Linked DNA regions of Arabidopsis thaliana. The protein of the gene in region 4 interacts with the protein of the main gene of each other region in a pairwise test. Each region holds a gene or a part of one and is shown on either strand. Other genes may lie near its edges. The genes, in order: YLMG2, AT3G59850, AT5G62900 and AT4G16444.

Evidence for each region.
Region 1: the proteins of AT4G16444 (region 4) and YLMG2 interact in a protein complementation assay, tested with the Arabidopsis thaliana proteins (one large-scale study listed by BioGRID).
Region 2: the proteins of AT4G16444 (region 4) and AT3G59850 interact in a protein complementation assay, tested with the Arabidopsis thaliana proteins (one large-scale study listed by BioGRID).
Region 3: the proteins of AT4G16444 (region 4) and AT5G62900 interact in a protein complementation assay, tested with the Arabidopsis thaliana proteins (one large-scale study listed by BioGRID).

What each region holds. Positions count from the first base shown.
Region 1 is NC_003076.8:7,239,477-7,247,024, forward strand, and holds YLMG2 (YGGT family protein), read right to left. Parts: upstream 3,405-7,548; 5' UTR 3,290-3,404; coding exon 2,984-3,289; intron 2,607-2,983; coding exon 2,404-2,606; coding exon of another isoform or gene 2,400-2,403; intron 2,365-2,399; exon of another isoform or gene 2,121-2,364; coding exon 1,874-2,120; 3' UTR 1,725-1,873; downstream 1-1,724. Other genes in the region: AT5G21900 (RNI-like superfamily protein), read left to right, coding at 56-217, 307-382, 463-618, 740-862; AT5G21910 (uncharacterized protein), read left to right, coding at 1,313-1,651; PAA2 (uncharacterized protein), read left to right, coding at 3,653-4,274, 4,373-4,450, 4,823-4,920, 5,007-5,060, 5,181-5,267, 5,356-5,520, 5,889-5,999, 6,141-6,209 and 3 more. UniProt on the Arabidopsis thaliana protein: Not required for the biogenesis and accumulation of native cytochrome b6 in the thylakoid membrane. Not functionally involved in the pathway for covalent binding of the c-type heme to cytochrome b6.
Region 2 is NC_003074.8:22,108,016-22,116,283, reverse strand, and holds AT3G59850 (Pectin lyase-like superfamily protein), read left to right. Parts: upstream 1-4,551; 5' UTR 4,552-4,585; coding exon 4,586-5,146; intron 5,147-5,648; coding exon 5,649-5,938; intron 5,939-6,398; coding exon 6,399-6,627; intron 6,628-6,722; coding exon 6,723-6,941; 3' UTR 6,942-7,181; downstream 7,182-8,268.
Region 3 is NC_003076.8:25,245,203-25,252,474, reverse strand, and holds AT5G62900 (basic-leucine zipper transcription factor K), read right to left. Parts: upstream 3,786-7,272; 5' UTR 3,604-3,785; coding exon 3,357-3,603; intron 3,100-3,356; coding exon 2,969-3,099; intron 2,858-2,968; coding exon 2,750-2,857; 3' UTR 2,443-2,749; downstream 1-2,442. Other genes in the region: AT5G62910 (RING/U-box superfamily protein), read right to left, coding at 460-1,307, 1,414-1,480, 1,577-1,645; AT5G62890 (Xanthine/uracil permease family protein), read right to left, coding at 5,400-5,618, 5,778-6,016, 6,111-6,202, 6,292-6,350, 6,437-6,523, 6,638-6,734, 6,897-7,081, 7,185-7,244.
Region 4 is NC_003075.7:9,272,760-9,280,393, reverse strand, and holds AT4G16444 (tail-anchored protein insertion receptor WRB-like protein), read left to right. Parts: upstream 1-3,946; 5' UTR 3,947-4,135; intron 4,136-4,295; 5' UTR 4,296-4,337; coding exon 4,338-4,448; intron 4,449-4,523; coding exon 4,524-4,603; intron 4,604-4,726; coding exon 4,727-4,797; intron 4,798-5,088; coding exon 5,089-5,159; intron 5,160-5,243; coding exon 5,244-5,325; intron 5,326-5,408; coding exon 5,409-5,458; intron 5,459-5,531; coding exon 5,532-5,603; 3' UTR 5,604-5,956; downstream 5,957-7,634. Other genes in the region: AT4G16450 (NADH-ubiquinone oxidoreductase), read right to left, coding at 1-19, 109-262; AT4G16447 (uncharacterized protein), read right to left, coding at 1,188-1,565; AT4G16442 (Uncharacterized protein family (UPF0497)), read left to right, coding at 7,424-7,587.

The DNA.
Region 1 (7,548 bases), on a different chromosome or scaffold from region 4:
CAAGTTTTATGCTGAAAACTAATGTTTTTTTTGCTTTCTCTATAATGGTAACTAGTGAGGTGACTGATGAATGCATGTGGCATATTGGGAGATATTGTAAGAAGCTAGAAGCTCTTGACATCACAGACTTGGATAAATTGACTGATAAGTCATTAGAGTTTATTACTGAGGGTTGCAGATATTTGAAATCACTCAAACTTACAAGTAACAGATTTAGGTTCGTACAAGTCTCCCAATTTGTTCTTTTTGTACATAACATCCGTTGAGTGTTCTGAATATCATCAATGTATGGGATTACTTTGACAGTGACGAATGTATTGCCGCGTTTCTTGAAGTCTCGGGAGGTTCTCTTAGAGAACTCTGCCTAAACAAAGTCCGAGATGTGAGTGTTTTTAGTACCTAAAGTCTTGTTCATGTTCAAGTTGGTTTTCGAAAGTGTTTGAGGAGTTTTGTTTTTAACAGGTTGGTCCAGAGACTGCTTTTTCGCTTGCCAAAGTTTGTAAGATGTTACAATTCTTGGACCTCTCGTGGTGTCGGAGACTCAAAGAAGATGACCTAAGACGGATTTTGCGTTGTTGCTCGTCACTTCAATCACTCAAGCTATTTGGATGGACGCAGGTATGATATTATAGAGAAACCTGTAATTCAGGTTACACTGGTGCCTTTTTTTGTTTATGTTGAATTGAACCTTGGGGTGATCTGTGTCAAAAGTACTTAAATGACAGTATTATCGTTGTAGGTGGAGGATACATATCTTGAAGAACTTTCAAGATCAGACGTTCATATTACCGGATTGAAACTGACTTCACTCTATGCTCACCTTGATAACTTTTACCCAAGTGTAGGTGCCAAGTTCTTCTGATGAGTAGACAACTGGCGTTTGTATATATAGCTTTGAATTGATGACCTTTCTTCATTGTTAGACCAAATTATAGCTGTTGTACAGGTTCATAGTAAAGAAAAAAAGATAGTGATATATGAACAATGTTACAATGTCTTTTAGAATCAGCTTTTTGTAAAAAGATTGAACTAATAGAAAGAGAAGAAAAGTTTTAAGCATATGATCCCTTGGAATATTTTTAGCAGTGTGTGGTCACAACTGTTCACCAGAAACGAAAGAATCTTCTTTCTCTCTTCTCTTTTTGAGTAAATAGCTAAACCATACCATCTAAACGGCTTTTTGAAACAATCCTGCAACTTGTGTTCAGATTCTTACCAAGAAACAAGCCATTTTAGTTCAGATGAACACCAACCGGGGATTGTAAAGAAAGTTACCAGTTGTTTTTATATATTTTGTACTGGCATTTTTCTGATGGAAACGGGATCATCCAGCCCGATGATGGGGAGGTTTACTACTTCCAGGAAGCTTTTGGCCATAAGCTTGTCGGTACTAGCCGTGCTCTCACCACTCTACATCGACAGATTATCAGAGGAAGATCTAGAAGAGGAAGAAGAACTCTTCAGCTTTATGTTTTCCTTCTCTCTGCTTCTCCTCTTGTTGATTTTAGCCATAGCCTTGTCCTTGTACAGTGACCCGAGCTTGACCAGGTTTGATCCTTACTGGATTCACAGGCTATGTGGTTCGTTTGGTGGATTGCTTGTCATCCTCATCCTTCTTGTTTTCGTCTTGATATGCAAAGCCTCTGGTTAGAATCTGAGCGAAAGTTGTTTTGATGCCACAAATGAAGAAGAAAAGCTCATCTCTTGCAAAATTTTTACAATATTTCTGTATGTCAGGAACACAACTCTTTTATTCATTTTCTAAAGAAAATTTATACAAAACTCAGAAATCCAAAGATACAGAGTAATAAAATTACTCGAAAGGTAGATTTTACATTTGAAGCGCAGAAAAGAGTAGATATTTTAGACAGGTTCAGGTCATAGAAGCTGAGCTCGGTCTGTGGTCTTTGTGGCTGCTCAACCTTCTCCTTCTCACCCACTTTGTCTCACTAGAAGCTGGAGAAACGGCTCCATCAGCTGACGGGAGTTCGCAAGGAAGTGCCATAGCCGAGCTGGTGAAGGCGTTGAGAACAAGGAACGCCAAAATGGGAGACAAATCTAATCCTCCAAGAGGCGGTATGAATCCCCGGAAAATGTTCAAGTATGGATCACATAAAGTGCTGAAACAATGGTAACGCATATACACATAAATAGGAATCAACTAGGGTTCCTGGGCAGATCAATCAGGGTTTAACCAATCTTTAATCCATTTAAGAGTTGGACAAAAAAGTAGTAGACAGAGTTTATCCAAAATAAATTTCCTCTAAATCAAGTAAAAAGACTACCTTCAACAATCACGAATAGGACTTCTATGATCTAGATTTTGTTTTCATGGATTGATCGAAAACTTTTAAACCTGGATAAGATATAAAATCATTGTGGCATTTGAAGGCAACGTTTTACCTGAGGGGGTTAACAATGGCAGGAGGAGCACTCGGGAACCAGGTGAGTACTAGACGGACGACAAGGATGGTGTTATATATGTTGAGGAAATTGATCAAACCATTAGCAACCACCAATCCTGCAACTGAATCTCCAGGCAGAACCGCTGCAAATCCGTGATTAGACATCGCAAACCTCACCCTTGTAGTGTTTCTCAAACGAATCTGCAATGCAACAAAATGATCTTCATCTTTAAGACATAAAGAACCCAAAACCAGAAGCAAAGGCACACAAAATCATAACCGGACTTATCCAGAAGCCAAGTTTCATCTTTACAAGAAAAGAACCAAAAAAGATCCCAACTTGAGGACATATATAACTCAGGGTTATCAATGTGAGAAGGTTTTCCAATAAATGCTAAATGATCTAGACAACAATCTACTGGCTGTTAAAGAATGACCCATTTTGTATAAATAGAAACCACAAAGATTCACCCATTACAGTAACAATCAGAGCCAAGGCAAGTTCATGAGAAACACACAATCATCTTCTTAACTTAATCCATAACATTCTTTAGCATAAGCAGGCTAAGAGAAGTTACCTCGTCGCACAAAATGTGAAATTCGGAAGATAGGCGAACCGCTTCCTGAAAGAGAGGGTTCTTAGAGGCGAGCGAATGGAGGAATCCTTTAAATTTCTCAGTAGCAGAAATCAGAGACTGATGAAAGTCTTGAATCAATTTGACGGAGTCTGCAACTGGTGGTAGAAGAAGCAAATTGGGTTTGTTCGAACGCACAAGAGGTGTTTGCGTAAATGCCGAAGAGAGCGATACGAAAAAGTTCGGTATCGGTCCTGAAGGATTGGATTTCAAGCTTTTCATAGCTGGTTCATTCGCACTCGCCTCCATTGTTGCAAAGCTCTAGATGTGTTGTAGAAGAAGAAAGCTTGAGAAGATAAAGTTACCTCCAAACAAAAAACAATATTTCAGGAAGATGACACGTGGCATCGCTGTGTCCCGGGGGCTGTAATCCTCTAGCTGAGTTAGAAGGTCTTACCTATTAAAACTTTGCGTTTTATGTCTCTCTCTGATTTTTCTGGTGACAGCCTGGCTTTTTAAAAATTCCACAAAAATGGCTAATGTTCGGATATATTCCAAATCCGACGTGTCAACGTTTAGCGATACTCTTTTTAACGAACCATACACCAGTCCACCACTAGTTTCTTACTTGTATACATCGCGTGACTATCGTCGTCTGTCTCGCCGGAGAAAATGGCGAGCAATCTTCTCCGATTTCCTCTTCCTCCGCCATCGAGTCTTCATATTCGTCCAAGTAAGTTCCTCGTGAACCGATGCTTTCCAAGACTGCGCCGTTCTCGTATCCGGCGGCACTGTTCGCGACCTTTTTTTTTAGTATCAAACTCGGTCGAGATAAGTACTCAATCATTTGAATCTACTGAATCTTCAATCGAATCTGTGAAATCCATTACGAGCGACACGCCTATTCTCCTCGATGTGAGTGGGATGATGTGTGGTGGCTGCGTCGCCCGAGTTAAATCGGTTTTGATGTCTGATGATCGAGTCGCGTCTGCTGTGGTTAACATGCTGACTGAAACCGCGGCTGTGAAGTTTAAACCGGAGGTTGAGGTGACGGCGGATACGGCAGAGAGTTTAGCTAAGAGATTGACAGAGAGTGGTTTTGAGGCTAAGAGGAGAGTCTCGGGTATGGGAGTGGCGGAGAATGTGAAGAAGTGGAAGGAGATGGTAAGTAAGAAAGAGGACTTGCTTGTTAAGAGCAGGAACCGTGTGGCGTTTGCGTGGACATTGGTGGCTCTGTGTTGCGGGTCTCACACTTCGCATATTCTTCATTCCTTGGGAATTCACATTGCTCATGGTACATTGATTATAATGCAAAAAAAATTGTGATGCTAGATGTCATTTGTTGGATAAGAGATGTAGTTTATGACTTTCTCTTGCACCTGATGTTACTAGGAGGGATTTGGGATTTGCTACACAACTCTTACGTGAAAGGTGGTTTGGCCGTTGGAGCTTTGTTGGGACCAGGAAGAGGTTTGCTTTTGTTTAAACTTTTAGTTCGAATCTATGATTCTTACCAGCTAATGCATAATAAGTTTAGTAATTAGTATCATAAGAGAGAGATGACAAAGTAGTCGTTCTTAGGCTATTGTTTAGACTTAGATAAGTGCTAGTGTTCTACTCTGATTATATAGGTGAGCTTTGTTGAATCAGTTCTTCTTATGGATAATGGTTAGCTTAATTGAGTCGTCGTTGTCATAAGAGAGAAACTCTGAATTTTCAAACTTCTTAAGTGATAGTGATGGTTCCTACTATTCTTTGCGACTTTCATAACAAAGTGGTGGTAGTGATATTTGAGGCTGTTCGGAAACACAAATGACTGAAACAGATAGATGTATATTGTAGAATTGCTGTTTGATGGCATAAAAGCTTTCGGGAAAAGATCACCTAATATGAACTCGTTAGTTGGATTGGGATCCATGGCTGCATTTTCCATCAGTTTGGTGAGTTTTTGTACCCTGTAATTTATATTTGACTGGTGAGTATCCTATTCTGAAAACCTGCAGTTTCTGCATTCTGAATTTTGCAGATCTCACTAGTTAATCCAGAACTGGAGTGGGATGCTTCCTTCTTCGATGAACCGGTGAGTTTCTCTAGCAGATCCACAAGAGGATGAAAGCTTTTTATTATTACTTCCACTACATGCAAAATACAGTTTCAATAGTAAATTTCTGATTGATAGCTCTTGTCATTTAGTATGCAGGTCATGCTGCTTGGCTTTGTGCTCCTTGGTCGTTCTTTGGAAGAAAGAGCAAAGCTTCAAGCATCTACCGATATGAATGAACTATTGGTATGTTAGACATTTCTTGATTCTCCTCCCAAGATTAACTTGTAGGCTTTTTCCTCCCTTTTTTTTGACTTGAAACGTATTTTTGCAGTCACTCATCTCCACTCAATCAAGACTTGTGATTACTTCATCAGACAATAACACCCCAGTGGATTCTGTACTTTCCTCTGATTCAATTTGCATCAATGTGTCAGTTGATGATATCCGAGTTGGAGACTCGCTATTGGTTTTGCCTGGTGAGACATTTCCTGTCGATGTAAGTGTTTCTGTCTTTCTGACATCTTACGATTTCCCTAGTTGCTTATCCATGCTGAATTGTCTGATCATAGCAAAAGATAATAGTGTGGGTTTCCGAAAAGAGTTATGAAAATCTATCTAAATGGTTGGTAACCATCATTCTGCAATTTTAGGAGTTCTATTTCAATTTATCAGTGCTGAGAAAAAAACATGTGGATCTTTCAGTTCTTTTTGAGATTCAGTTTAATTGCACATTCTTCTCTGCACGTGATAATGGATATTATTTTTTCTTGCTCAAGATAGCTTGGTTATAATCCTTGTGACTGGTTAATGAGTAGTTCTGATTCTAGTAGTGATATTATGTTAAATTAATCACTTTCTTCATAGGGGAGTGTCCTAGCTGGAAGAAGTGTTGTAGATGAATCTATGCTGACAGGAGAGTCACTTCCGGTGTTTAAAGAAGAAGGCTGCTCAGTTTCAGCGGGAACAATTAACTGGGTAAGTATACGCAACCTAAACAAAAGTTTATTTTTTTAAAAGGCTACTTATGTAACTAACTGTGCTCAGTTACTAAGTTAGATTTACATACACTGATCATGAATCTTTTTGAATAACTGAATCTCACTTTACCTATTTCAGGATGGCCCTCTACGGATCAAAGCTTCTTCTACTGGTTCCAACTCAACGATATCTAAAATTGTCAGAATGGTTAGTGTCTATGAATCTAGAGCCAATGAAATGTAATGAAAGTTACATTGTGTGTGGCCAGTAATCTATGTAATTTGTAGCCGACTTTCCTCCTCGAAAACAGAAAAAGAAAAGACAGCAACAAATAGAAATATCATGAATGAGTCACAATCCTACAAATAGAACTCATTTACAAGTTTGTAGCTGAACCTAATTTCATACGGGAAAGTATGAATGAAATCATGTCAGAACCCTCAGTTCCTCTGTAGTGCGTCTTTAATTCATCACACCCTTTCTTTTCTGAATTTTAAGGTTGAGGATGCACAAGGTAATGCAGCTCCTGTACAGAGGCTGGCAGATGCAATAGCTGGACCCTTCGTCTATACTATAATGTCTTTATCTGCAATGACGTTTGCCTTCTGGTATGGTCCTCTTTTCATATTTCTAACGGAAATAACATGAAATTTCTTTTAAGAGTCATATATTTATTTAGCAAGGCTATGTTTATTTAGTTATAGTATAAAGTAGAAATGTAGAAGTATCATATGTCAATTACCTGTTCTGGATCAAGTGAAAGACCCATGTTTTCTTGCTTCAGGTATTATGTCGGTTCACACATATTCCCAGATGTTTTACTCAATGATATTGCTGGACCTGATGGAGATGCTTTGGCCTTAAGCTTAAAACTGGCTGTGGATGTCTTGGTGAGTGAGACATGCATCTCAAAGCTATATCTTTCATGTGAAAATATCATGGACTAGCCGGACTTAACGAGGGAGGAAAATGGTGATTGTGGGGAAAATGTGAATTCACGAAGTGAATGTAGGATTAAATTCGGGTAGAAAGAAATTTTGGAGAAAGAAAATATTGAGCAGATAATCAACTCGTTTTTTTGTGTGTATCAGGTAGTTTCCTGCCCCTGTGCACTGGGCCTTGCAACACCAACTGCCATATTAATTGGCACCTCTCTTGGTATGTTATCCAGCGTATTATTTCTCTTCCGCATAAAAATCTGCAAACGTAGCTGAGAAGAGTAACCTAATTTGCGTGCAAAGTTTTCCAATTATTAGGAAGATTCGAAACTGACACTGAAGCTACCATTGTTCCTGTTCTGTGCTTCCCTGCTGACTAGTGACTAACCTGATTTATGAAAAAATATTTTTTGGTTTTAAAGTTCTGTCGTTGATGGCGACTTTAGTTCATACATGAAATTACTAAATATGGCCTAGAAATCATGAAGAATCTCCCTTCTAGTTTCTGTGGTGTCGTACGTGCAGTCCTTCTGGTAATCTTTCATGTTAATAGGGGTAGTTAAGCATTATAATACCTTGTAATAAGCAACAATAAATTCGAGATTATT
Region 2 (8,268 bases), on a different chromosome or scaffold from region 4:
ACAAGTTCCATTGTAATTAGGAATCGTCGTTTACACATGCACAACCTATTCTTTGGTCTTTCATTTTTTTATTTGCTTTATAGGGGAATCTCTCGATCATTTTTAATACGGTTTGTGGCTAATAAGTTTCGTTACATTGTCTGGCTTCTCTATCACTGTTAACTCGTCTAGTATTAAAAAAAAAAAATCTAAATTACTCGTATTAAGACTAATTTTGACAATAAAATTGTAAACCAGTCTGTAGTAGATGTGGTCTGTGCGCAACTGTGAGAAACGAATACTTGAGATGTGTTAGTTGGACGGTGGAGATTAATCATCTTATGGGCCGCGCCTGTTTGGTTTATTTCTTTGGCCGTAAGAAACGCATTCTAATTGAAGCTAAACGAAGATATTCCTAGGTCTTTTAATACAAACAATAATAACGAAACATATAGACTAGGGTATACTTTAAGTTTTTAACTACCAAATAACAGTTGCCTAAATTTTGGTCAATACTTTTGTTGATTATACATATCAAATCCAATTTGGTTTTAGAAAAAGCAATTGTATCCTATCATTTGCTCATTTGTTTTCATATCGTAATGTAAATTTTATAGTAAAGTTTCTGATTAAGTATTTGACTAAAAAAACTATCCTAAATATTAGTTTCTTTTTAGGGTAATTTGCAGGCCACACCCTTTGACCATGTTTTATTTTCAGGGATTGGCTAAGTCAAATGTGGTTTTCACGTTTTGTCTTTTCAGCTGAAATTTGACCATTTTACCCTTGCTGCTACAGTTGAGAAACTATTGAATGTACGGTTTAGTTAGGTACACTGTTCCGGTTTAGTTGGAGATATTTTTGTTTCACTTTGAGAAGTGCGGCTGTACAGCTAGAAGGGAGATTTTTTCCTTTAAAAACTAAATGACATCAACATTTAATGGCTCAAAAAGTTTAAACGTGACTCTTGTCACAATTAATGCAAAATCATCATTACATGTTATAATATTATAAAATTATTGATAATAATTGTTGAGTTAAAGATGAACCCATAAACAAACATTAATTGCGAACGTACATTGATGTTGAAGATGTGTTGATCTTGTTTATTTACGAAATTTGGGGCCAAGACAAGCATTATCGTGTAAGTAATGAAGTTTTAAAGATTTGTTTTGTTATAATACACTATGATCTTCATTGTGTTCGAAATCAATTTTGTTTTTTATAAAAAAATCCAGAATTTTTTTATTTCTAATTTTGTTGGTTGAAAATGGTAAATGTATAGATATTTATGTTTATAAGTGTGTATAACGAAATTCTATTTGTTTTTGTCGATATAATCATATTTTCAGTTGCATTTATTGGGTTTCTCCTGAATTTATGATACAGTTGGGTAATGGATAATCTCGTATTTACTATGGTCGGTGAGTGGAGATGCAAAGAAGAAAAATGGAAATTTGAACCAGAGGAAGACATGTTTGGTCGTTGTGTACGTGTTAAGGAAAACATGACGTACACGGAATTTGTATGTACACTAAGCGAGACTTTCAGTTTGAAGTCCATAGAGATCAATCCCATGATTAGTTACTGGATACCGGGAGTGATGTTAGTTATGTAGATACTAAACGCCCTCCTGTCTACATTGACAGTCAAGTGAGGGTGGGATACGATTTTTTTTATTCGTGGTGGGTATCCTTCTCTCAACTTGTTTGTCTCTTTCATTACAACCGTCAATACACTCGGAAATAATGTCTCTAGGACTCATGGTGACGATGCTGAAAGTGACTGTGTGTGTGATAGTGTTTTAATGTTGATGAAAATAATGAGACCGTAGATTAGCAAGACGACATTGAAGACGATAAAACAGATGAGGATGAAGATGAGAGGACAACGAAGATGGTGATGGGTATGATGATTATCAGGGTGACGATGGATCTATGGGGGAAGTACCATCGATCCTACTATTGATGGTAGTGAAAGTAGTGGCGAAGATTATGATTACAACAAGTGGAACGATGAAATTGTAGAAGAATATGGAATAGGGAATGTTGAGGAGAACGTCATTCTCACACAGCTGACTGTTCAACATCCAAGGGAATTCAGTCTTCTGTTGGCAGAGTGTACGTAGACAAGTCAGTGTGTACCTGGCGGAGATAACATTTCTCACCCGGGTGACCGTACACCAGTTGTGACTCCAAGAAGTATTTGTCAACATGGTTTGTACCAATGTACGTACAATATAGATTGGAGAGTGTTTTTAAGAACAGAAAAGTCATACAACAAACAATGTCTTATCTCGCAATCAAACAATTTTTTTGCTATAAGCAACCTAGGTCATATCCTACAAGATTGGTGATGATATGCGTTGATGATACTTGTCTATGACATTTGACTGCTCAAGTCGTCAAGAATTCAGAATGTTTCAAAATCACATCGTATGAACGTCTTAGAATATATCTCGCCCACTGTCAATATTGGTTTAATATTGTATCAATAAAATTTTCTTAGTAATTTAATTTACAAACAAAGATGTACGTATATTATTACACATGTACATACATTAATTTATCAACAAAAATATACGTACATTATTACACATATACGTACATAACTTTCAATATGAGGAACAAATATTATTTCACCATCTATTTCTATTTAATTATTATGTATGTATGGAGATTATTGAGATATAAGAATACGTAATAAAATAGCTTTAGTTATTAGAAATTGTACCATATACATTCGACTAAATAATTTTGTGTACGTACACTGTAAATTGAATATACGTACACAGAAGAAATTTAATGAAGGGTATAATTATAATTTTCCAGTCATTTTTAACCTGTGTATCCTTTTCTGCAAACCTAATTTTGCGGTCATCTTTAGCAGTTTTCTCAAAATCTCATTTTTTTATACGTTTTAATTACTATTTATATATAAATCTTGTAAATATAGAGTATCTTTAGTTTAAAAAGCTAAATTGTTTGAATCTGTGATTTTTTTTTGCATTTTGTTCATCTCTGAAAACAAGAAATTTCTTCCTCAATTTTAGAGTTCAATGGAGAGATGTCGAAATATGAAGAAGTAGATAATGAAGTTTGAACTTCTCTCTACTTCTCTTTCAAATCTCTCCATCTCTTTCTCTTCCTCTTTTTCTTCTTCTTCGCTTTCTTCATTTCAGTTTTTTTTTCTTTTTTTTCAAAACTGAACCATAGAAACTAAACCAAAACCAACTGGTGTGAGGTTTGGTTGATCCCATTAAAAATATTTTGGTCCAAAAACCATTCAAAAGACAAACGGTGAAAACCACATCTCACTTTACCAAATCATGAGAACAATTTTTTTTTCAGCCACTTCTGTGAAAATTTCTTTTTTTTCTATCTTCTACAATGTAGGTCTTTCTAGTCTCTCCCTCTATCCTTAAGCCACCGATCATTTTTAGCCTACTAAAATCAACTTAAGATCGAGGTCTCTATTCTCTACCTAACTTTAGGCCACCGATTGTTTTAGCCAACTAAATTTACCCTAAGAGTTATTTTCTGAACGCTAAAGACGATGGAACATTACAAGGATATCCTTCTTCTTATGGTTTAGTTTCAGCATACACTACTTTCATTCGATATTTATATTACATTTCGTGATCCTATTAACACGGCATGCGGCAATAAATGCGTTGTGTTTAACAAACATCACATTTTTCTGAATTGTTGGCCATGCATGTGATTGTGAATATGATTATCATCCTATCAAAATATTTACTTACGATATTATTGGTCAATTTCTTCTCCGTTTTATCCTCCACTTGTCACGTTTCCCACTCATGTTTGGTTCCGTATGACCCGTACATTATTTCTCCTTTAATTGCTTACTTTATTAAATATATATGCATGGATCCGTAAATTCCTTGCCTTGCTTTTAATTATTAGGATCGTGTAACGTTTTTATCGATAATTAAAGCTAAATCGGTTACTACCAATTGTAGTCGTCACATGCATTGATCTTATGCTCCCTACCATCAACATGCACTGCCCCTGACCATTCCACTTGCTTTTTCAGTTATCATATATTTGAATACAACATAGATGATTTTATGTCGAAACACATTCGAGTTCTAATCCTAAGAAATTTCAATGCGTAAATTTTCATGAGTTGATTGTATCCGAATGCTTACGAGTTAGCGTTGATTTTTGTTTTGATTCAGAAAATATGAATGTTTGGTTTTGCTTTTTTTTTGAGGATTTAAAAAAAAAAAAAACAGACAAAACTATTTTGTATACACTTACATGAATTAGATAATATTACTATATGAAATATTTATAGAGATTAATTCATGTAATATGATACAAACAATTTAAACGATCATTTAGTCACAGTAAATCTATAAATAAACAATCTGATTTTTCAGCATATAGAGTTCATGATAAACGATATAAACCCACAATAGACACAAACTTCTAAAACTCAAATCTACCACTTGCAATATTTTGAAATTTGACAAAACACTCGAATAAACTATTTAAGAAAATATACTACTGTACATATCAAATTTTATTCTTCAGATCTAAGGTTTCGTTGATATGATAATATAGAAAATAACAAGAGAAAAATGTTAATCAACAAAAAACAATCCATTTCACAAATACGCAAATACTATATATACCTTACACTAAACCGTTTCAAATCCCACACACCCATCACCACTTTTCAACTTCTCCCTCTATCTCTCACTTTCAAAGCAATGCATTCTTCACTTCTCATAGTTCTCCTCTTTCTCCTCTCGGTCTCATCTTCCTCAGCTCAAACCTACAATATCCTCTCTTACGGAGCCAAACCCGACGGCAAAACCGACTCGACCAAGGCCTTTACCGTCCTGTGGGCCAAAGCATGTGCATCGGTCAAACCGGTCACCATTTTGGTACCTAAGGGACGGTTTTTGTTAAGAAGCATTATTTTTGACGGTTCCAAGTGTAAACGCAAGTCCGTCACGTTCCGTATCCAAGGTACACTTGTGGCTCCATCGGATTATCGAGTCATCGGTAAAGAAAACTATTGGATTTTGTTCCAGCATCTCGACGGCATCTCTGTCTACGGCGGAGTTCTTGACGCCCAGGGAGCTTCTCTATGGTCTTGCAAAAAGTCCGGCAAGAATTGCCCGAGTGGCGCCACGGTAAGAACTTACCATTTTAACGTCTTGATGTTATTTGTGAATTATGCATTTATAATTTTAAATTATGCCAACCTACAAAATATTGTTGCCATAGAAATTCTAATCAATAAGTAGGGAAAATGGTAAAAAAATTGTTACATGTATAAAAGTCCATCAATTTTGTCTTATTGTTAAACTTATATTGTTGAAATCATTTAAAAGCATTTTCTTAGTAGGTATATTTTGAAAATGAATTATCGCCGTTTTATCGATGCGCTTCCGCAAATTCCGCTAGCACGATCCAAATGATGCATTTTCCGCAATTTTTTCTCCATTTTTCTGCTAACATAGAGTTACATTCATATAAATATTATGTGTCGTTGACTTCTCACGTTAATTAACGTAGAATCCTCATTCACATGTACCAATCATAGAGTCATTGATTTAGTGATAATCTTTATTATATACTTCCTATTGTTTTCGGATAAATGAAATTGACACGTGAGCAACAAATTGCAAACAGAGCATAGGGTTTCAGAGCTCACGCAACGTGGTGATCTCCGGGCTGACGTCACTTAACAGTCAGATGTTTCACGTCGCGATTAACGGCTGCAGTAACGTAAAGCTCGACGGAGTCAAAGTTTCTGCAGACGGAAACAGTCCAAACACTGATGGGATCCACGTGCAGTCATCATCTACCGTCTCCATCCTCAACTCCAAAATCTCCACCGGCGATGATTGTGTCTCCATCGGTCCCGGCACTAACGGCCTCTGGATCGAGAATGTCGCTTGTGGCCCTGGCCATGGGATCAGGTATTGAATTATTAATTTAATTACTTGTAACTTCATTTTTATCTTTCCATTATTTTTAGTTTTTATAAGGTTTTTTTTCTTTCACTTTTGGTTTATATGAATTATAGTAAACAAGTTAAAGCCGACACTAGTTTATATAGGGTTGACACGGTTTATCCGTTTATGAATTAGTAATCAACACAACTACAAAGAGAGAACAATGTTTTGTTAATTTGTTCCAATTCATTCATTTTCAGTTTCATGTATTTCTAATAGTTAGAAAAATATATTTGTCAATGTCACACAGTGGCACTAGATTAGTTCAGTTTATCAATTTATTTGTTGTGTTCTTTTTTTTTGGTTATAAAATGTCAATTATTTTAATTTTATTATACTGTAACAGTAACTGGTTTTTGGTTCACTTTCTAGTGATCATTTTCTTTTATTTATCCACATCAATCATTTTTATATTTTGGTACAGCATTGGAAGCTTGGGAAAAGAAAGTGTGGAGGTAGGTGTACAAAACATAACAGTGAAAACGGCGACGTTTACAGGAACAGAGAATGGGGTGAGAATAAAGTCATGGGCCAGGCCCAGTAATGGATTTGCTAAGAATATCCGTTTCCAGCATTGTGTTATGAACAACGTACAAAACCCAATCGTCATTGACCAAAACTACTGCCCTGGCAACGAAAATTGCCCTAATCAGGTCCACATTTTTCTCAAAACATATTAAACGTCACATAAAAAGCTATTCTTAATTTAGATATTAATTGGTTTATATATGATTGATATGAATGATAGGTTTCTGGGATAAAAATCAGCGATGTAATGTTCTTCGATATACACGGGACATCGGCGACGGAAGTTGGAGTGAAATTAGACTGTAGCTCTAAGAAGCCGTGCACGGGAATTCGAATTCAAGATGTGAAGTTGACGTACCGGAATAAACCAGCAACAACAGATTGTAGTCACGCTGGAGGTAGTGAGGCAGGATTTCAACGGCCCAACAGTTGTCTATGACCAGAAAAGAAAAATATTTGTCTTCTTTTTGTTAGTAGTGTAATTGTAAGTAACGTCGTATTTTCATATATATTACGGCTTTATTCCTGGAGGGTTGGAATACGTGAAATTATGGTCTAGTATTTTCGCAAAATCAATTTCTAATGATGCTATTTGTTATGCATTAGTCAATGCGGACTAACCAATGATTATGAACGTAGGTGGATATTTAAAATGAATGGGAATTGTGTTTAATAAAACGAATCAAATCGATAAATTGTACATCATAATGCCTATAGCCTAAGCCTAATATAGTATTATCAGCTATATAAATGAATTACGTGTAAACAATGTTGTCTAAGTAAATCGAAATGTTACAAATCCAATATATAAAAGCAAAATTTAAGGATATAATTGGACGGAGACGGTGAGAGATATTTCATCTAGCTAATACTAAGAACATTTACATTGGTTATTAGTCGTGCAATCTAAGAACATGAGTATATAAAAAATAAAGTAACATATGTTCAATCGAATTTATTTCAACTAATTTATTATTTTTGAAAAAAATAAGTGACATGTGTAAGATGAATTTCTTATTAAGTACCACAATGAATCGTGGCAGCACATTGTTGAATATTAGAGAGTTTAGGGTCTAAACAAAAGCAAAAGTGAGTCTTGGTGGCCCTCTATCGAAAACTCCGTTAATCTGTAATGCCCGATTTGAGTTGGTCTTGGCTTGGAAATGATACATGTGACGCCATATAATGCTGCGTATGGCAACTCGTCGTAGGTACTCCAGGGTTTTGGGACGCACATCACGGTCAGTCATCCACATGAAAGACTTCTAAAGACGCATCTTGGAGTTTCAGATTCATCGAAGCGCAAGATCCAAGTTGAATATTTCATGTAGCTTAGAGAATAATTCTGTGTAACATGAAACTCATGAATTGCAATACAGGTCGCATTGCTCTTACTGTTGCAGGAGCCTCTTTTATTGCAGGGAGCTATCTTTCTTTAACAATTGGCAGTCTCTCCCTCAGCTGTTAAACCAGTAACCTTAACATACCTCGTCAAACTCTACTAGACTAATAATAAATTATGTATCAATGATAAATCATGGGAAAACTATTAGAATATAATTTCTTATTTCCAAAATTCCTACAAAATGCGTGGATATTAGGTCACACTCAAGAGAATTTTAGACAAATTTGGTGAGGTTCTCTGATACCTCAGATCTAGAGTTTCAGACAAAGTATAGTGTTGTCGCATCACATAATGGAGCTGGTACAGTATCTACTAATACGTGGTTTGAATTACATTTTATAGTAATTTTGTTGGTCACTAG
Region 3 (7,272 bases), on a different chromosome or scaffold from region 4:
TAAGCTGGCTTAATAGAAGTTGTTAAGAAGCCTCACTTTATGTGAATAAATGATTTTGTTAGCTAATCATAAACAATCAGAAGTTTCCTAAAAGAATTTGAAGTAATGAGAGTTGATCTCTGGTGAATGGTGATTCTAAAAAACAAGCTTTGGTTCATGAGTAACTTGTCAAGAGGATTCACCATAGCAACAAAATAACTCTTAAACCTTCAATAATGTTTGACAAGGAATAAATGCAGACCAAACATATGGAATTAGAAAAGAGAACATAGCATTCATTATTGAAACTATCTAAATGTATTTGAATCATTTTCTGTACCACCTTTTATGTATTCACACATCACATTCTACATCATCACCACAGTGTTTCAGACTTAGAACCATAGATGACATAGAAAACAGAGCTTAAGTTCTCGAGTTCCAAAAGACAACATGGTTGAGAAAACCGCACCTCTCCTTTTAAAACTTGCAAAACATGCTAGACGAACGAGCCAACCGAATTGTTAGACCACCACCTTGAATACTAGTCTCAGCCTTGACCATATTCCGTTCATAGGGTTTCCTGCAGCCTGGACAACGCCCATCTCCATCGCAAATGGTCTTGTGGCAGAACAGACAGAGCCGAAATCCACAAGGACAGGGGAGGAAATTCGAATCCGTCAAGTCCAAGTCTTCGTAGCATATGGGACATGAAGACGGAATCGCCACAGAGCTAAAACGCTTGTCTAACTCCGGAAAACTAAGCTGCTTCGCCAAATTAGGTAACCCCTGTGGGCGAAGGTCATCATCTAGCCTCCAAGCTCTATTACTAGTCTGCTTCCTTGATGACACTCTCAAGCATTCCTGCTTTGGATCTTCAACACCCACAACATCTGATGCATCACTAATCGACGAATCACACACATTAGAAGCTGATTGTCCAACACTCACTTGCTCTTTCACAGACTCAAGAGGACGACTCTTTTTCTCAATCTCTTCCTCAGCCGCTAACGCATCAGCAACAGCTTCCCAATCATCCACACACCCATCATCATCATCGTCTACATTTTCCTCTTCTGTTATATTACCAGAGCAAAAGCCACTGCTGCTACTACTACTCCTGCTACTTCTCCCACTGAAGTTAGTGCTCGAATATGTACCACCAACAGAGCTATTTGAAGGTGACTCCATAAAACTCTCATGATGAAGAAGATTATTCCCACCATTGTTATCCTCTTCTCTACGCACCTTATCTGAACTCTCATGATGAGGCTTTTGACTACGATTAACACTCCTCTCCTCTTTAACTTCCTTATTGCTCACCGCAACTAATATCAAAATCAAAAACCCAAAATCAATACATAGACAACCAAATCTAACCAAACGAATCAGGCAGAATTGAAACATTAAAGGAGAGAAAGATGAAGTTTTAACCTTGAGAAAGCCATTGCTCACGACGGAGACCAAGCTTGTTCTGCTTCATCTTAGCCGACTTATTGTTCTGCAAAACGTAATGCAATAACAAAACCATTAAAAATCAAAACTTTGAATCAATTTCAGAGAAAGGAATGAGATTTATCAAAGAGGATAACGTTACCCTCTTCTTCTTTCCGGAATCTCTCGGAGCTGAAGTAGCAGAAGCGTTGGTGATCGAATCTGTAATCATGATTCCGCAGATGAATCCTGACGAGTGAAATTACACAGTGGGTGAAGAATTTGAAATCAAAAGATGAATATTCTCAAAAACCCTAATTCAGATTTGGTGGCTCGAGAGAGAGAGAGAGAGAGAGAGAAGAAACGTGAAGATTTTTTATTTTTATTTTTATGTTTTTTTTTCTATTTTTGTTGATTTAATAAAAATCAAAGAAAAAGAGAAGAAAGGTGAGAGAGATAATATATAAAGGGATAACGGAAACTCCTCTTCTCCGCTCAGACAATTTCGTTCGATGCTAAATGACTAAAGTACCCTCAACGTACGTGTGGGTTCTTCTGTAAGTCGGTGAGTGTGCACGTGTGAGGTAAACGATGTCGTATTTTTGAGTCTAACTATGGCAAAAGAGATATACTTTTACCTTTTTTTTTTTGTGTTCTGAAAAGATCTTTGATGATATTTTTTGGGAGTTTCCTTATATGCAATTTGCAAACTTGTAATCTTGTGAGTGAAAGCTGTGTAATGATTCTTTCTTCTTCTTCATACAAAGATATTTTTATGTAACCCAAAAAGAAAATACTATGGTTTTGTTGGTTTTTTGTTAGGTGCATATAGTTCTTTTATAACAATTTTTCTTCTTCGGAATTTATGGCATGTTAGTTATTATTGATATGTTAAGCTACATGAATAATTAAATAGAGTTGAATAATAAAAACATACAACAAACCAATACAGTTGAATAAAAAGGTTGCAAAAGCTAGTTTTAGTGAATAAAGGGAAATGTTTCAATGGTCAACAACAACAAGTACAATTTTATCAATCTTTTAAGTACGTAAAAAAAGTTGTAAAACTTGATCTATGACATAACTATTTATTGAAAACGTAAAAGAAAATCTAGAAATCTAGAAAATGAAAATAATCCTTTGGATCTTTCTTTCTTCAGTTATTATTATTAAAGTTAAAAAATGACAAAAGTTTCTTCTTCTTCAACCACAATCAAATGGGTCTTCTTCCTTTACAAATTTGATTGGGAAAAACAACAATACAAAGAGAAATGAAATGATAAAAAAAAGAGTCAAAAGTAAGAAAAAAAGATAGAAAAATATGGATTGAAGTGTTTTAGCTTGTAGATTCTGAGATGCTTTGAAGAGAAGGCTGCCAAGCTCTAACTTTATTGGTAGCTCCTCCTGTGTTCATCATTCCTCTCTGCTTTTCATGTATCCTTCTCTGTAAATCAAAACCAACTCTATTATTCTTTTGTAACACTCTATCGTTTCAATCAGAGAACTAAAACTGAAACATCTGATACAGAGCAATTGTAGTATGTGATAATAATACCTGAGTGTCTTTGTCAGAAGCAGATTCAGATCTTAGGGTTAGTGGGTTAATCTCTTCTTCTGCAACAGAAAACTCTCCATGAATCTTCTTCATCTTTCCAGATTTCTTGGCTCTTATTCCTTTCATCACCTCTATTAATAGAACACAAAAAAGAAAGACTGACTTAACATCAAAAAGTGAAGCAGAACAAATAAATTGATAAGAATCCTGAAAATTAAAGCTTTTAGTTCTGATTTGTAAATTTTATACACTTCGTATATGATGATTGTAATCAAACGTGAAGCAGAAGAAACAAATTGAAGAAAACCCTATAAGTTAGGGTTCTGTTCTTTCCTGAATTTAAAACTGAAACATGTTCTGTGTGAATTGTGATTAATATATTATATACCTTCGGAGGAGATGAGTCTATAAACATGACCGAGCAAGAGGTTATCAGAAGGACGAAGAAGCTTTATACGAGTGACGCGGAGAGAGCCACCGTGAGGTACGGCGGAAGAGAGGAGGAGAGCCACGTGGTGACCGGGATGGGACTTAATCACTTCGCTCGCGTTTACTGTACAGTAAAATCTAACCGATTTACCGTCTGGTTGTTGTATCACCGTCGTTGCCGCCTCCGCCGCTTGACAATTCCCCATTTGTTTCTCCTCTCACGGCGGAGCAAAGCAGGAGAGAGAGGAGTGAAAGAGTAAAGCGTAGGTGAGGGGTCTATACTGATTTAATAGTTTCTCTACTCATTATATATACTCATCATTTTATTTCTATACAATAACTATAAGTATAAGTTTTCATGTTATTATTTCATTTTGTCATCATCAACTATTTTTCGTTTCTATGGAAAAAAAAAAAGTGGTGTGGAAGAGGTTTTATTTATATATGTATCTCCATTATTCGATAAATGGTTTAACATTTAACAAACAAACAAGAAAGAAGAGATAGAATAATGATCGTAATTGCTTAAATGATTATTATGTTTTAGAGTGTCCGTACAGAGCCCCAAGTGTTTGCTTGGCTGGAATCTTTCACGAAAAGTAGATTCCAAGCAAAAATAATAGTTAAATCTTTAAGCCTTTGATACTACGAATCTATTTATTAACATTTAAATTCTTGTTCATGCTATATCATTTAGCTTAGGTTCAACCTCTGAAGAAATTCATAGTAAATCTCTACTTCAGAAATTAGTCACTATCTTTTTTAGATATACACATAACTTAATATGTGTAAATCAGTGTATATATACACCACCTATATATAAATCTCTAGGAAAAGTCTATAGTCTTCATACATCTAAAGTTAAAGTATCCACAAACTATTGGACCACAATTTAGATAATACTTTCATCCAATTTCCTACTTTATGTTCTGTGTTCATTTTTCTCCTAGTATAGTTGTATTGTTTTAAGTAAATACTACAACTAACAAATTATAGAATGTAGCAGCTGTTTATAATTTATAATATAAAAATGATCAAAAACACATTTGTAGTTATATAATTTAAACATTCAAATTTTCAATTCAATACGTAAAGATCAATAGTTGCAGAATAATAAACAAACAAATTTTTTTTTTGTCAACTAAATAAAAAGCAACTTTATAAATCATATTTTTCTTAAGCAATGATGAGCTTTTTGTGGAAATTAAAATAAGGAAAATGACAACCAAAAATGAAGTAAGAATAATATTCCCCTCGTGCAATCAACCTTATTCACATGCTTACTGTACACTTTATCTCGATCTCCTGAAAGCCTGTGTCGTATTAATCGTTAATTATTCAACAAACTTACTTAATTACGGAATTAAATCGATCTGCCTTACAAAACAAAGTAATCTTAACTTTTGCGTGTCCATTAATTTAGATGATAACATACAAAAGTTGCCTTATTAATGTCTCTCTATACTATTTTATTGATCAGAGAACAAAAACCTCACGCAAGAGTGAAAGGTCGCTCTATTTTATATGACCATTTTTCCCTTTTTTTTCTCTACACATATGACCAAATTAATAAGAAAAAACAACTAATTAATTGTAATTATCTATTGAAATTAAATGTTATATGTCAATTCTCGTTAAAGTTCAACCAATCAGGTTTCCTAAGCTTCTAAATCAAGACTTTGGAGTGAGAAACATATAAAAAGAAAAATTAAGCTAAAGATTTGTTTAGAAACTAATCAAAATCACAAAGTAGTGTTTCTGTTCCCTCGGATTTACAAAGACAAAAGCATTAGAGAGAGAGTAAACAACAATGCTCTTTAAGAAGATTCATCATTCTTGTAAATAAGACTATAGAATGTGATGAGATATTTAAAGTTTCCAAAGTTGTGAAAGGAACTGAACAAACGAACCACGACACAGAGGCCAAGTCAACAATGGCGAAACTCGAGTTTTCACCATTTTCTTTGTTTTCCAGTTATCTTTTTTGCTCTTCTCTTCCCTTTTAGACAGATGGGAAGTACTTGTTGAGATTGAAAGGTAGAGAGTAGAATTCTTCACTTCTTGTGTCACCTTTGAAAGATCTAAACTTGTCCCACCAATGCTTCCCTCTGTCTTTCCTTATCGAAGAGTCTTTCTTGTGCAGTGTGTTGTCCAAGAAGAAGGCGACGCTTCCAGCAACAAAAGGCTCTGAGGAGAACGGGACATTTACCATATCGTTGAACTGTCAAATATGTAAGAGAATAAGATTGTTTCATTAGTTCAGGCCATGCTAAACTCGAATCTTTGCTATGGAGTTTTAGGGACCTTAATAGATCATTCTACCATAAACCTATTTCAATGGAAAGAGAAGCAAAAATAACAGTGACTTGGTTCTACATACCCAACGAGCCCCAGTGTGGACCGGACCATATCCTTTGATTGCGGTGTACTCATTGAAGTATTGAGGGATGGACAAGCCCAGGAAGACAGAGAAACCTAAGATGAACTTGGTCCTGAAGCTGTTTAAGTTGCAGAATTGAAGGAAACTCAAACCTCCAGCTCCCACGTATGCGAAGAAGAGACAGTATAAAGCAGCAATGATGGGCGCAGGAATTGAAGCAAACACAGCTCCAAATTTTCCTGCATTAACAGGATGGATCTCATCAGTACAGATAAAATTTCAAACAAAAGTAATTCCTTTTATTTGTTAAAAACAGAATAGAACAAAACTAACCGAGAATAGAGAAGAATATCATGAAGCCTGCAGCTATCTGGACAACCCTTCGACTACCAACTCGTGTCAAGGCCAATAGTCCGGCATTTTCTCTGCACAAAAGAGAGAAAAATCAACTTTCATACCAAAATATCCAGAGAAAGTAATCAAATCAGAACATGTAAATCTCAGAGATGCTTACACAGAGACAGAGGAACCAGCACCAGTACCAAACAATCCTGATATCAGAATCGCAACTCCCTGATTCACAAAACAAAACATAATCACCTCAGAATTCTTTCAATATCGATTCAGCAACATTATAACTTCAAGTATAGCTGAGTTACCTGCCAGCCAATACCGCGGCTGAGAATAGAAGGTGGCAACATCGTTGCACTTGCGTATCTTGACACCGCGACAAAAGCACCGGTTGACTTTAAAGATCAGCCAGACACAGAATAAACAAGAAACCAAAATGAATAAACAGAACAACAGAGCATAATCATTATATTTTGAAAGATTAAAATGTGAAGAAGATAACCACAGACCTCAACTAGAGCAACAAAAGAAGCCATCATCATTGCAAAAGCTTCTCCAGCATCAAACGATGGGGCACCCCACTGGAAAGGCCATGGAACTCTTATCCTAAGTACAAAGAAACTAATGTTAACAACGAATCCAATGAGATCACATTTATCTTCTGATACTCTATTCGTTCATGTTCTTTTGTTCTGTTTAAACTGGAAATTTTTAGTGGAAATGGTATTTTGGGAGCTACATATTTTGAGCTTTGTTGTAACCACTTACCATGGGGCAGCACCTATGATTCCAGCACGATCTGTCCGGCAACTTGTTTGAGTAGTTGGTGCAGCACCATTGTAGGCCCCACCAACTGTAAGAAGATGAGCATAGATCCACACAATCACCACCGCGAATATCACAGCAAATCGGTCAAACACATTTTTCCCTGATTTGATCACATGAGGCAGGTACTGTAACAGGAAACATGAACACATGAAATCAGGTAAGTTAAAAAAAAAAAAAAGATTTTGGGAGTTAGACAGGATTAATCTGTAAGTAAGTTAAAAAGATTACCTGTGAAACGAATACTAGAATAAGAAGCTCAGGCAGTCCAATCTCTATGCATTTAGCAACCTAAAATGTAAAAAGGATATCAACAACT
Region 4 (7,634 bases):
TTAATCCCAGGCTTAATCCCTACAAAATCGCCATTTCCAAAAACACCAAATCAGCACATTCTCAACCTACAGAATCAGAAATTTCAAGAGAGAGGTGTGTGGATGAACCAGAGAGATAGCCGACGGTGACGGAGATGCCGGTGATAGTAGAGAAACGGAGGTAATCGAGAGTGCTGAAATTGCCGACGACTTTAGTAAAAGCAGGATTCCGATCAACCACTGGGTATTGTGCCTTCTCCAAGGCAGTGATGTCAGTATTCATCTTCGATCGATAAAATCTACAAATCTCTGATTCTATCTTCTTTCTTCTTCTTCCGATCAAAATCAATTTCTAGGTTATATTCATTTCAACAGAAGCTGAGATCCTCTCTTTCGTCTAGAGGCTTTTCTCTTTGACCCATAAACTTTCTTGGTTGGGCTTTCTCATAACAGACCCGAATGAGCCCATTTAAGTCAATCAAGCTCCAAACGATCGAAAATAGCAGATCTAACAACATGCACGATATAGTATTGAATAGTACTCGAGTTTTATTCTCTTAAAAATCTATCTATGATTGAGTGTCGACATTTTAGTTCTATCTTTCTCTATCTCAATTATTACTGACACATATATAAGAGTACTGAATCAAATACGATGCAAGTAGGTTTTGAACTTTGATTGACGATTTTTTGGCACGACTTGTATGATCAATTATTTACTATCTTTAAGAAAAATCGTCAAAAACAATAAGAAGCAAAGCTGCAAAAGCAGAGTTTTCAACATGCGCAAGCGGAGCCCAACTGAAATCAAATTTCAAGTCTGTCTTCTTAACCACTCCGACATCTTTAGTTATTTACCATGCCTTCGTTGGTGAAGTTGAGGTAGAAGTAGTTACGTATATATAAAAAGCTAAACATTACATGGATACGTATAAGCAAAGACTTGAGGAATGATATAGTAACCAATTAACCATCAACAAAAGAATAACCAATAAATCAATGAGTAGATCGATCTTTATCATCGTGATATAAAATATATCATAATCATTAACTTCGAAATAATTAATATATATGATTGCCATTTTAACCATACATATATCACCACCACCTAGAAGACTCTTTAGAAGAGCATACCGACGAAAACAAACTCTATATACATACATATTTAATTAGAACTTCAAAAAGATGGAGGAACAATTATTTTAGTTTTAGAGATGCAGAGACGTGTCAACATCGTCGTATCGATCAATCCCACCCATCTTCTTGTCATCTTTATTTGGCCACTGATGACAAAAGCTTGGCTTTTCAATGGATTCAGAGGTGGAGTGTGAGCATAAGGAGAGGGATAGGAGCTGCTGTGACGAAGATGTTTGAGAGTTTATAGGTAGAAACTGAAAGAAACCGAAACTAGTGGGTTCGCTGTAATATTGCAAGATGTTGTCTTGGTGGTTAGGTTTAGGGTTTAGGAGCTCTCGTTCAGCTCTTAACTCTCTTGCTCTCTGAAGTTGTCTGAATCTTTCTTGAAGCAAGACGATTGAAGAATGGATCACCATTTGTTCCTTTCGGTCTCTTGCTATTGAACTCATGACGTAATGATATGAGTCTTAGAGAGAGTCTTGCTAGGGTTTGGGGCCATGTTACGTGTGTTGAGCCTATTTATATAAGGAGGAAAAAGGTGTATATTATTTCTTATTATTTAATCTGCATGAGAATACTTTAAAAACAATAAAAGTATATAGGGTTGTTGAGTAGTTCGATGAAATTCCGAAAGGAAGAGAATCAGGAGTAAAGTGGTAAGAGAACAAGAGGAAGAAGGCAAAAGTGACAATCTAAGGATTGTAAAAAGAGAATGTATAATGTGTGAGTGGAAATTTGCATATTTTTATTTTTATTTTTAAGAAGCAAAAGAAAAAAAGTTGGCCAAAGTAGAAAATGGTTGGGAGGAAAATGACAAGAAGAATGTTTGAAGGGAAGCACATGGATTGGTTTGTTTGGATGATTATTGAGATATATAAACCCTTTTTTCATGCCCCCCACTTACCTCCCTTTAAGGGCTCTTTTTATTTGAAATGGAAACTTTATTACATCCCGAGAATATAGGGTGTATATAAATATATATAAGGGATGGTCTTCTTAAACGTTTGATTTGATTGTATGCATAACAGAGTTGTAATTCAATGATAAATTTTCAATATGTTAAATACAAAAATCTTGCAAGGACATGCCTAACCATAATATATAAAAGAGTAATCTAATCAAAGATCATATTCGTATGTTGTTATATTCAAGAAAACTTGCATGAGGTTTTAAATATTCCTTGGAAAAAAAGTGAATATGAGAAAAGGGAGTGACAAAAGGGTTTAGGAGAGATTTTGGTGGCTTGGGAGATGGTGAATTGGAGCCACTTCTTTGTCTCTACGTCAAATCTTCTCAGTGGAATTTAAAGTTATATTATTGGCATTCAATTAAAAATGAAACACACATTAAAGAAGAGTGTCAAAAGTTGTTAATGGTTTCTATAAATTAGTTGATCCACTTTTAAGTTTTAACTTCTTATGATTTGGCAAGGAGGAAAAAGTATATAAAAAGTGGGCCTATCTATTGATAAAAAGACAAATGGAGTTCAATAGACTAGGGAATAATGATATCAACATATATGTATGAGATGTGTTTTGATTGATAAATAATTGTGAAAAAGACCACTCATTTTTACACAAGACATTCTCTCTCGATCTCCTCGTTTTCTCTCGATCAAAATGCTACTCTACGCTCCCTTCCCATAATGAAAACATCCATGCATGTACATTATCATATTTTTACTAATTTAGGGATCGAAAAGATTAATTTATAAAAAAGTAGAATACTATATACGTATCAATTAATATATGTGTTCAATGCAAAGCCGATGCAAACTTATATATTTCCTATCGTGATAATCTTATATAATAGATATTAGTTGTGTTTGATATATATAATAATTGCAGTACATATAATTCTTAACACCCATATAATGTAAAATTTTCTGATACAATTCTAAACCACATGTGTGCATTTTGAGTTTCACTTCATAGTCGGATTCTGCAAACTCCCCACATTAATTGGTCCACAAGGTACAAAACTTATCTCACATATATTCACCAATATATACAAATGTCAAATGCCTTTATAATGTATCACTCTTGATTGTTGATATTAGATAAGAATGTTGATATCATTACAAATGAAATGATATATTAGATTAAATTGGTAAATTTATTGTTACACCTCTAACAACGAAAAAAAGTGAGACAGTATAGCTACAAAACGGAGCGGGTTGAAAGAAAGAGGAAGTGGACAATGGGGATACAAAGTTTGAAAGGCACATCAAAAGTGGTGGGAGCAAAAGTTTGTCGTCAAGTAATTGGAATATAATGGCATGCATACACGAAAGCTGAAGATGCTACGACGTTTAGGATTTGGACTTACATTGTTTTTCTTCCTTTTTTCAGCTTCGGTATCTGCGATGTTATCGATAATGCTCTGATTTGGTGATAACCCCAATTAGATAGATGATTAACATAATTAAGTGGGATCGGATGAGACAAAACATATAGTGTCTTTAGATTAGTTGAGAAAGATTAGAGACAACGCGTGCCATTTCTGGTAAAACCATTACAACCACTCCACGTAAAAAGAATACATTATGTTTGTTAAATTTTCACATTTCTAATTTCTTACCCTCCATTTTGTAGTTTTACTACATCTCTACTATTTATATCTATTTTTATCCTATTCATTCTAAATTTGGATACTTTTACTGTTGACTGAAACTTGTAGCCTAGTTGTTGTTTCTTTTCACATGTACTCATGTATACCCAAGCTTAATGAAATTTTAAAGAAAATAAACAAGCGGTTTAGTTTTAATTTAATGGGCCGTTTCTTTATTTCAACGAAGCCCAATAGAGCCTGTTGAAAAAGGGTTTAGTTATTGTTGTTTACACATAAGGGCTTGAGTTTTATTTATTTCACGAAACGAGTAGAAACTTTTGTTTTATCAAAATCAGAACCCTCCTCTTTTACAGATTCAGGCCAATTCTAAATTCCCATCGTTCGTTCAATTTCAGACGTTAACCTCGGCTTGAAGGCTTCAAATTTCTGTGAATCCACGACGGAGATTGTAAGTTCCGATCATACTCACGACGATCTCATTCTATATGCACTAGAATCTTTTCCTCCTCCATTGATTAGATGATATGTTTATCCAGAACATGATGGATTCAATTAAGGCTTTTATTTTGTTGATCTGAATGGTACTGAGTTATGAATTGTTCGAGCAGATTGGTGAATTACGTTAGAATCAGTAATCAGCAAAAGGGTTAATGGAAGGAGAGAAGCTTATAGAAGATCGCGGCTTTTTGGCTGCTCCTCTGACCTTCGTCGTCGTCGTTGTCTTCCAATTGCTATCCAAGTGGCTTGACCAATTGAAGAAGGTAAAAAAGATAATACTTTTTGGCTTTTTTTCATATCCACATGAATCATCGTTTTGAATTATGGAATTTCTTCAGAAAGGGTCGAAGAACACGAGGGAATCAGAGCTGCGAACCGAAATTAAGCAGCTTTTGAGAGAGGCTAGTGCATTGTCTCAGTAAGCCATTTTGTTGTCACATTTTGTTTTGGTTCTAGTGATTTGAGTTAAGGAAGGTGCAGTTGTTGAAAAATATATATATGAGTGTTGTTGATTAGAGATTTATCTATTGTTTACTTGCAGGCCAGCCACATTTGCGCAAGCAGCGAAACTTAGGAGGTCAGCAGCTACTAAAGAGAAAGAACTTGCACAATGTGAGTATGCATACATTATTAGTTCTACATTGATTGCTTAGTGAGCGTAGAGTTCATGAAATTCAGAAATATGATTGATTGCTTAGTGAGTGTAGAGATCATGAAATTCAGAAATATGATTGATTGCTTTGTGAGTGTAGAGTTCATGAAATTCAGAAATATGATGCAACAGTTAGTTAGCTTTAAACATGAATACTATCTGGTAGCAGATATTCCTACTAAAGCACTGCATCATCATGGTGTAGTATTGGTGTGTGTGTGTATTTGTTAATTCTCATTTTGAAATTTTAGATCTGGAGCAGCATCACAAAGAAATCAAGCTTTCATACGATATGTATGGGAAGGGTCTGCTTGCTTCGAAGGTAGCTTAGTTTGTGTGCTCAAGCTTCTTCTTTTTTTCCGTCTAAAACTCCTTAATCGAGATGTGCTAAGAACTTTGTTTCTAGGTTGTGATATACCTAATCTTGGTATTGTGCTTCTGGAGGACTCCAATTGCCATTATCGCTAAGCAACTTGTTCAACCGTTTGGTGAGTAGTTTACTTTTACCAGGTTAAAGCTCGCTTATGGTATATAACACATAGGAAAAAAATGAATGTGGTGTGTTTCACAGGGACTTTGTTATCTTGGGGAACAGGAGGTCACATGACAGGCCATGTAATGGTAAGTTCCTTCTTCTCAATCCATTTATTTGGGCTTGTTCTTGATTGAGAGTGTTGGTTGGGTAAAAATGCAGGTCGGGATCATACCGTGGCTCATACTCTCAAACAGAGTGAGCAAATATGTGTGTAGGTTCGTGGAGTTCTAAATCGCATCCCTGAAAAGAGTGAAGATTGGATGGTTTTTGAGTTCAAAGTTGTAGCCTTTTAGGAGACACTTGTGGCAGAAATTGTGCTTCTCTTTTTGTTCCTAATCTTCCTTAACAATGTATATTTATATGACTCTTTTTCTCTGGTTGTTTGTTGGATTTTACCAATAACAAGTAGTTCGTTTTTGAGAGTTGAGCAGGTTGTTACCGTAGAAGCAGCCCCAATATTTACCCAATGTGTATATATACACCATAACAAACACATTGTCTCTATTCCTCTACGTGTTGTCAATTTTTATCTTGTAACACCGACTTTGTAAAATCAGATTCTAAAGACGCGTGTACTTATTCAACACGATGCCAATGCATGTGGTTCATTAAGATGTAGCATTATATCACCGAAAATGGAAGAGAGAAATAAAAATACTTACTATTATTAAAAGTGGGTAGCTTGGTGAAGGCACTAAAGTTTAATGGGAGAATCTTTTTAGCAATTAATTCGAGGGCATTATAATATCCACTTCCAACCACCACATTACTTAATTAAGGAAAACAATTTAAATCATAGTATCTTGTTTGGTTTGAAAGGAACGTGCACGTGTCACATCATCTACACTTGTCTTTCTAAATCAAAGAACTTGATTGGATTTGGTTAAGCCTATTAGTAAGAGTTAATAAGACAGAACCAAAGAAAAGGGTTTGGTTAGAGGGGCTAATTGGGAGATGGGAAGTGCAATAAATAAGAAGAAGGTTCATTAAATAGTTGTGTATGTGGGCATCCAAAGTCCCATCTTAATAATTTAATAATCTCCTCGGGATAGATAACAATCTTCTCTTCTTCTTCTTCTTCTTCTCTCCATTTTCCTAGAACATTAAAAGACAAATATGGAGCATTGTAATTTAATTAATCCTAAAGGTCATTGTGATATCTCACTTTCGTCTTTAAGGGAGGGGGGATGTTAGAAAAATGTTGTGTTTTGGGTTTGTGATCAGAACCCATGCACATTTCAATTCAATGCATCTCATAATAATATACGTAGTAACGTCTACAAGAACTTTTCTACCACTTGGCAGATTTAGGGACTATGTTTCTGTGTCTCTCTATCACCCCTAATTCAATAGCATATTAAAAGTTTACTCTAAAACAAGAAGTCACGACAAAATGAGATCATTGTGAAGATATAATTGGTTTACTATAAATTTCATGTAAGAAATAAGTATCCGTATTTGTAGGATATCTAAATTATGTGATCCGTTTTACACTTTTACTTAAGAGAAAGTTGAATTCCTAGAAAAGTTTCAAATATCCAATTTTCTCCTCTAAAAGACTAAAAACGAAAAAAACCATAAGTTTTTAAGAAACGAAAAAAAAAAAGTATTTTCATTATGAACTATTCAGTGAATTCATCTATTGTTTTTTCCTTCAAATAGTAAAAAGTGAAAAATGAAGACGGTGGTAATAATAGTAAAAATGATAACAATAACTAATAACACTTCACTTCATATGTTGGTCTTTTAGTAACTAGTTGAATCTAGAAACTAATTTGTCCAGCCTTAATTTACACAAAACTAGTAGCAAACTTATTCGTTAACACAGTTTCAATTTTGGTGATATTTTTCAATAAAAGCCTAAGGACCCAAGCGATGTGAAGTAAAAGCATGGAACTCTCTATTTAAAGCCTTAAGCCGAGTGTGGACACTATTTCTCTTTAGTCTCTCTACGGAACCTGTCTTCTTGTCTTGTCCAAAATCGGATTTTTAAGAGTACAAGTGAGTTTATTTTGGGGGCCGAAATCTGTCCTGGAGGATACAGAAGCAAGATGAAGTTAATAGATCGAAGAATGAGGTTAACGGAGCTGCTCTTACGGTGCTCCATCAGTGTCTTCGCTCTCCTCGCGCTTATTCTAGTTGTGACAGACACTGAGGTCAAGCTTATCTTCACTATCAAGAAGACGGCCAAGTACACGGACATGAAGGCGGTTGTGTAAGCTTATCATAAACCCATTTCGGATTTAGTACTTTGACTTGAGA